Oryctolagus cuniculus: one gene and its partner. The protein of the gene in region 1 binds, or shares a complex with, the protein of each later gene. Links are inferred from orthologs where the notes say so. Each region holds a gene or a part of one and is shown on either strand. Other genes may lie near its edges.

Region 1 (4,171 bases):
TCTCTTCCCGAACAGATTGGCTTCTTTATGAAGGTAGCTCTCAGTCTGTCAAGTCCCTAATAACCAGCTCATAAACAACATTTGATTGTCTGTAAATGAGTAGAGTTCTTAACCATGAAAAATTTAAAGCTGAAGCAGTAGGCTGCTATTTGACCTAGAAAGCTTTTCATTTAAGTTACAGAGATCTTGCATCCAGCGGTTCACTTACCAAATGGCCATGACCCTGGGGGCCTGGAAGCCAGGAGCTTCACCCAGCTCTCCACATGGGTGGCAGGGGCCACTTGGGCCATCTTCCACTGCTTTCCCAGGTGCATTAGCAAGGAGCTGGATTGGAAGTGGAGCAGCTGGGCCTCGCATGGGTGCCCATATGGGATGCAGGTGTGGCAAGCAGATGATTAACCCTCCCCCGACTCTGCGCCACAATGCTGGCCCTAACCTAGAAAGCTTTTAACCCTTAAACAGCAGGCGATTTGACTGTGTTATTTCACCTGCAAACCCTGCACGGAGTTCCTTATGGGAAAGCCCAGTGTTGCTGGTCCATCTGCCAGTAGAGAAATCCTGACGTTCACGAGTGCATCTCCACGAGGCATCATCAGCCAGTTTACCCATCTCAAGCTGTCATCTGTAGAACACAGCTCACTGTGGTTCTCCTGGCCTTGACTCTGATGGTCCACAGGTACCCGTAACCGTTAAGAGGTGGGCAGATAGACAGCTGCGGTGAACCGTCTTGTCTTTAGGTTAAGGGGTGCGCGGGGTGTGTTGGTGTGTTTGGACGTGTTTTTGGGGAGGGAAAGGAAGGAGGCCGTTCTAGACTTGACTTTGTGGCGTTCGCCTCCCCACCCTCTTGCAGCCCCCTAATCTCCTCCGTGCACTAGTCCCGGCTATACATGCATTCATGTAGCTGACGCGCGTCCCCGGCCGGAGGGACCCAAGGCGTTCTCTTCCAATCCTGCAACCCCCCTGCCCAGAGGAATGCCCGAGGCACAGCAGGTGTTCCCAAGGCGTTCTCTTCCAATCCTGCAACCCCCCTGCCCAGAGGAATGCTCGAGGCACAGCAGGTGTTCCGCAAACATTTCTTCGGCCTGCACTACCGCGACGCAAGGCCGCAGAACCGGGACCCCAGCGGGCACCAACGGCCGGGCCCTGGCGCCCGCGCGGAGACCGTTCTCCGGGCTCGCGTGGGCGCGGCCCGGGGGGCCGCCGGGGAGGGGACCGGCAACGCGTGGCGGCGGCAGGGCCAATGAGCGCCGGCGGGCGGGGCTCGCGGCGGCGCCCGGGCGCGCGCGGGGCTGGGCGTGCCGCGGCTGACGCGCAGGGCCGGGAGGGCCAATGGGCGCGGGGTGGCGGGCGGGCGGGCCTGCAGGCCGGGGGCTGGAGGACGGCGAGCGGGCGGCGGGCCGGACAGACTGACGTGCGGCTGCATCGCGGAGGCGCATGGCGGGGATGGCGCTGGCGCGGGCCTGGAAGCAGATGTCCTGGTTCTACTACCAGTACCTGCTGGTCACGGCGCTCTACATGCTGGAGCCCTGGGAGCGCACTGTGTTCAGTATCCTGCCCGGGCGGCGGGCGCGGGGGGCCGGCGTGGGGGCGCGGGCCGCATCCTCAGGGCCCGGGGCCTGGGTCCGGGCGCGGCGGCGGCGGCGGCGGCGCTGCGGGGCACGGAGACTGCAGGTCTCGGGGCTGAGGACGGCGCTGGCGCGGTGAAGGGAGGCGAGGACCCTGGAGATCCGGGGTTGCTCGTGAAGTCACTGGACCCAAGGTAGAGGCGTCTTTATTTCTGGAGGAAATCCCCGAGGGCGATGTCTAACCGGGTGCGTCCTCGCCTCCACTGGGGCCGCGCCTGCCTTTGGTTCAGTCTCCGGTTCTGTGGGAGGCAGGGGCCGTGTTAAGTGGAGCAGATCGCTCCCGGCTTGGAAGCCTTTGACCTTTAACTGTCCCCGGTTTAGCTGGCTTTGGTCCCAAGGAGAATTCCAACCGGTTGGCCAGCTTTTTAACCACGTTGTGAATTTGTGGTCATGACACCGAAATCCAGTTTTGGAAAGCAGTCTTAAGTTATTGCACCGTTTGGGTCATCAAGATGGGTAGTTTAAAAAGTGTGTGTGTGTGTGTGTGTGTGTGTGTGTGTGTGTGTTTAATTTTCCCACGAAGTCTTTGCACCGTAGGTAGAAGCCATGCCTGAAAAGGAATTCGTGGTGAGCTGTGGATAGGGTTTGAAACTATTTGGGTGGGTAGTTAACAAATTCTTAGGAAGAACTCTTGAGTGATTACTATAAGCAAGGCAACTGTGCTAGGCACTTTGGCTGTACCTTACCTCCTCTAACTTTCACAACATTCCAGTTAATAACTCAAGGTTGTGGAGACTCCCTGAAGTCTGTGATCCCCCCCCTGCCCCGTCTCCAGTTGTTTTTATTGGCATCCTTTGATTGGCATCTTTTGAGGATATTGTTGTAGAATAAATGCTATTGATAAGATGTTACTTTTTAAAAAAAACTTCGGGTTCCAGCATGAAACAGATACTTCACACAGCCTGTTTCCCTCATCCAGGCTGTCTGCTTTCCCTTGTGGATTCCTTGGAGTAGCTTGCTTTAGAACAACTTGGTTAATGCACTGTTGCATTCCGGCGAGTGAGTGAGTGGAGGTAGTTTTGTTCCTAGTCTATCAAGTGTGTTTGTGGTTAAATAGCAGAAGGTTGTACGCAAAGCTCTTTTTTGTTCCAGCACTTTTGAGGAATTTTGGCTGCTTACAAAGCAATTTATTTATTACTCTTGGTCTTTCTTCCCAAATCTGGAATTTAAGAACCAGAATACATGTTTTGGTTTTATGCTTTGAATATAAAATCTGCCTGATTTCCTGCAGTTTTTTTTTTTTTTTTTTTTAAGCTAGAGTTTAGTCTCATTCTAGTGTCTATAGGTTAGGACTTGTGAGGTCAGGCCTTGTCAAATGTGTACTTTAATGGGTATGTGTTTGAAATTTCTCACTGGAAGCATGTAATCTTGACTCATTCAAAATCATCTTGAAGTTAATTTAAACAATGGAGGAATAAATTGAAACACTTTGAATCAGAGGTTGCATGTTGAGCCCACTTCTGGAGTCTCTGGTAGATTTTATACTTAGAAGCTTTTGTTGACATATGGATAAATGCTACAATGTCAGTCGTGTAAGAATTATTCCGTATTATGGTGCAGTAATAAGAGTCTTATAAATACCAAGGCATTTTTGAGGTTGGAGAAATAAATTATGAAGTGAAATGTAGTACCTCTATTGATTTTTGCCTTTTTTAATGTCTCACTGTCTTATGTGACCAAGTGATTAAATTTTTTTAGGTTAGTGAGAAATGCAACCACTGGTATCTGGTGCTATAGAATATTATGATTTTTAAAAAATATTTATTTATTTATTTGAAAGAGTTACACAGAGAGAGGAGAGGCAGAGAGAGAAAGAGAGGGAGGGAGGGAGGTCTTCCATCCGATGGTTCACTCCCCGGATGGCCGCAACAGCCCCAGCTGTGCTGATCAGGAACCAGGAGCTTCTTCCAGGTCTCCCACGTGGGTGCAGGGGCCCAAGGACTTGGACCATCTTCTACTGCTTTCCCAGGCCATAGCAGAGAGCTGGACAGGAAGTGGAGCAGCCGGGTCTCGAACCGGCACCCATATGAGATGCTGGTGCTTCAGGCCAGGGTGTTAACCCACTGAGCCACAGCACTGGCCCCAGAATATGATTTTTAAAAATAGATTTATTTGCTTCTTTGAAGACAGAGTTAGAAGGAGAAGCAGAGAGATCCTCCATCTGTCATTTCACTCCCCAAAAGGCTGCAATAGCCGGGCTGGACCAGTCTAAGCCAGGAGCTTCTTCCCAGTCTCTGACTTGGGTGGCAGGGCCCCAAGCACTTGGACAGTCTTCTGTTAATGTGGCTTTCAGAAAAGTCCTTTCACACAAGAGGCATTTATCAGCTGGTGCACTGTGAGCAAAAGCTATGACATCTAAAAAAACTGGAAATTAGTATTTCTACTCTTAGATTATTATCAACTGTTTAATTTATAGTATTTCACTTTGACTTCTAGTTATTTATTCATTTTTAGAAGATTTTATTTATTTATTTGAAAGGCAGAGTTATATATAAAGAGACACAGAGAGAGATCTTCCATCTCTGGTTCACTCCCCAGATGGCTGC
Region 2 (3,566 bases), on another chromosome or scaffold:
TCTACTGCTTTCTCAGGCCATAACAGAGAGCTGCATTGGAAGTGGACTTGAACCGGTGCCTGTATGTGATGCCGGAGCTGCAGGTTGGGGCCTTAACCCGCTGTGCCACAGCGCCACCCCCAACAGTTATTTTAAAGCCGCTGACTTCCAGAGGTGCCATAAAATATTATTAATTTTACTTATTTATTGACTTTGTATTTTTCCCCCTGAGACAGGACTTGAAGTGTTTGGCAACTTACACTATGGGTTAATGCAAAAGGGTTCATCTACAGGAGCAGTCCTCAAAGTGCTGTCCCTGATGACGGGGATCAGAAACTCTGGGGAGTCTGGAAAAAATGTACTATTTCAACACTGACCTGCTCAATCAGAAACTCTGGGGGACAGACCCAGAAATCTGTGTTTTCATAAATAGTTGCTCAACTTTGTTTCACTGCCCCAAGAGTAGAAAGCGGAGACAACACCAGGTGCCTCAAATTAGCCTTTGACTTTCAATAGGTATTGAATAAGAGGTCCTTAGGACTTTTTACTGTGCCTTAGTTAATACTCTGAGGTCCTAACTAATTTTCTTTCGTGTGTTTTTAATTCCTTCTTTTAATATTTGTGTGTTTTCAATTCCTCCTTTTTAATATTTGACAATTCATGCATAAATGGAAAAATGTGGGTCACTGCAGAACAATTTTTATTGTTTTTTTTTAAGTTCTATAAGTTTCATGTATTTCATGTATACAGATTTAGAAATACAGTGAAACTTCCTACCCTAACCTCCCTCCTGCCCACCCTCCAGCCCTTCTCTTCCCTCTCCCATTCCCACTTTTAATTTTTACAAAGATCTACTTTCAGCTTGCTTAATGATCGACTGTTAACCCTACACTAAGTAAGAGGGTTCAACAAATAGTAGGAAGAAAAAACACACAGCTCCTCAGCAGAAGAGACAAGGGCTGTAAACAGTCATCAAATCTCAAAATGTCCATTTCACTCCAATATAGTGCATGTTAGTTACTCTATTAGTTACCTTGGATCAGGGAAAACATATGATCACTGAAGAGCAATTTAATAAAAAAACTAGCAGAGGACCTAGAATCCCAGTGCATGTACTGGGAGATTGACAGAGCACCCCAGGAGAGTATTCATTAGTTACGAGCATTTCTGCTTCTGCCATAGCATGGAAGGTTCCATTGTGCGGCTTCCCCAGATCGTGGCCCTAAAGAAGAAATACAAAGCTTACCTCTACGTAGATGAAGCTCACAGTATTGGGTCAGTGGGCCCAACCGGCCGGGGCGTTTCCGAATTCTTTGGAATAGACCCTGGAGATGTTGATGTGCTCATGGGCACGTTCACCAAAAGCTTTGGAGCCGCAGGAGGTTACATAGCTGGAAAGAAGGTAAGAGACTCCTAGTGTCTTTAAAATCTGCTGGCCGCTATGAACTCCGGGGAAGCTTCAGCTCAGTTCACCTCACCTTGACTCAGCCCTGCAGCTGAGTAACAATGGATCCACACCCAGGTGAGGCCAAGGACTTCACGGAGCTCACTCTCTAATTGTGGAGAGCAGCATGGAGTGAGTGCTCACTTTATAATAAGATGCCAAAGCTTACCCAAGATTCAGTACAAAGGAGAGGCATAACAGACTCACTAGGGGAGTTTCTGGGATGTCTCCAGAATGAATGTCAGCCTTGCCGACAAGTGATGGGAGAGTGGATTATTCCTCAGAGAGGAATAATGTATACTCAGCCACAGAAGTGATTAGGGGATGTTACAAGACAGATCTGCAAGTAGTTTGTGTTTTGTGAAGAACGCAAAGCAGGTAATAGTAACAGTAGGCAAAGGCCAGGTGTTAAGGAGGCTGACCTTATGTTAGGCTATAAGCTATGAGTTTTGAGAGTTTTCATCGGAACAATGGCAGGATCAGTGGCATTTGTGGGCACTCTCATGGAAAGTGGAATTAAAAGAGAAGTTTATTTTGTGCAAAAAAAGTTGAAAACCATATATAAAAAGGATCTTAATATATTCATGGAAGATGTATATTATTTAAAAAAAATTATGTGTGAATGTCAGTTTTTGTACCACAATAAATTTACCTTTTAATCCATTTTTTCATGAACTTTTTGAAATACCCATTGTACTTCTAAGATACTCTGCAAAAACAGTTCTTTCCATAGTGTTGGGTAAGCCATAGGTCAAATCTTCCCACTCTCTAATCTTATCTATATACCTAAAAGATTTTATGTGATGAAATTAGACTTTTTAAATGAGTGCTAGCTCTGTTATTCGAGTGTTAGTACCACCAATGGGTTTGTGAATATAAAACAATAAATGTTCGGAAGACATTTTAAAAGAAGAGGGGCTGGATGGGAGAGGGTTGTGGCCCAGTGGATTAAGCAGCCCCTTGGGTCACCCACATCCCCTATCAGAGTACTGAGTCAAGTCCTAGCTATCTGCTTCTCATCAAGTTCTCTGCTAATGCACCTGGGAAGCAGACACTGCGCTCCTGTTACCCAGGTGGGAGATTCAGATGGCACTCCTGGCTCCTGGCTTCAACCTGGCCCAGCCCCGGCTATTGTGGCCATCTGGGGAGTGGAACCAGCAGATATAAGATATATAAGATATTTCTCTCTCTCTCTCCCCCCTCTCCCCCCTCCTTCTCTTCCCCTCCCTCCCTCTCTCTCCCTCCCCCCTTCTCCTCTCTTTCTCTCTCCTTCTTTCTTTCTCTCCCCCCACTCACCTTTCAAATAAATAAACAAATCTTTCAAAAGAAGAATGAGAAGGGGGAGACATGGAGATGACAGGGGAGGAGAAGGAGGATGGGAAAGGGAAAGTCTGATATTCAAACTCGGATTTGAGCATAAGGGGGCCAGATGTCTCCCCCATTATATGACAGCCTTATCCAAACCTTGACAGCAATCTCATACAACCCTATATCCACCCCAAAGAGATCGTGCGACAGTGGTGCTGGCTCACCTCAGATGGAAGAGCAGGCCGCAAACCAGTGCACACAGGTGGCACCAATGGCTTATCTAAACTTCTCCATTCCTTGCCCATTGTGATCAGAAGGAATAAAATTCCTGGTAAACCAGTTAGACAGATCAAGGAGTGCAGCAGAAAACAGTCCTGTCATTCAAAGCCCGTGATTTAAAACAACAGATTTCATCTTGGCCACTCGCCCTGCTATGATGCTGAAAATACTCAGCGTTTTAAGTGGACTTTACCCCTCACTAAGCACTGCTCTATCCCAGGCTCCCAGCGTTCCGTTTTCAGCCTCCTTCCACTGGCCTGTGGGAATTAGCTGGGTGATGCGGAAAACCTAGAGCATGCCCAGGATCCTACACATGTCAGCTAAACCCGGTGAAAGGTTCAATGCTCCCCTCACAGCGCTCACAGCAGTGGGATCAGAGGGCCTCAAATTTAGGAGCTCCTCTTACCGAGACTGCAATGTTTTGTGAGCTTGAGGTTTGGTGATTACTTTAGCAGAGCCCTGAGCTCAAACATTTTAACCAGGCATAACTCTGCTTCCAGAGTGAAAGGCACCTGAATAAACTGGAGCAAGCAGATCCTTGAAATGCTGTCAAATT

Evidence for each region.
Region 2: SPTSSA (region 1) and SPTLC3 share a complex: the UniProt entries of both Homo sapiens proteins name them as parts of the serine palmitoyltransferase (SPT) complex. The link is inferred for Oryctolagus cuniculus from reciprocal best matches to the Homo sapiens genes SPTSSA and SPTLC3.

Annotation. Positions count from the first base shown.
Region 1 is NC_091443.1:40,979,404-40,983,574, forward strand, and holds the start of SPTSSA (serine palmitoyltransferase small subunit A), read left to right. Parts: upstream 1-1,369; 5' UTR 1,370-1,434; coding exon 1,435-1,546; intron 1,547-4,171. UniProt on the Homo sapiens protein: Component of the serine palmitoyltransferase multisubunit enzyme (SPT) that catalyzes the initial and rate-limiting step in sphingolipid biosynthesis by condensing L-serine and activated acyl-CoA (most commonly palmitoyl-CoA) to form long-chain bases.
Region 2 is NC_091442.1:38,096,860-38,100,425, forward strand, and holds part of SPTLC3 (serine palmitoyltransferase 3), read left to right. Parts: intron 1-1,161; coding exon 1,162-1,381; intron 1,382-3,566. UniProt on the Homo sapiens protein: Component of the serine palmitoyltransferase multisubunit enzyme (SPT) that catalyzes the initial and rate-limiting step in sphingolipid biosynthesis by condensing L-serine and activated acyl-CoA (most commonly palmitoyl-CoA) to form long-chain bases.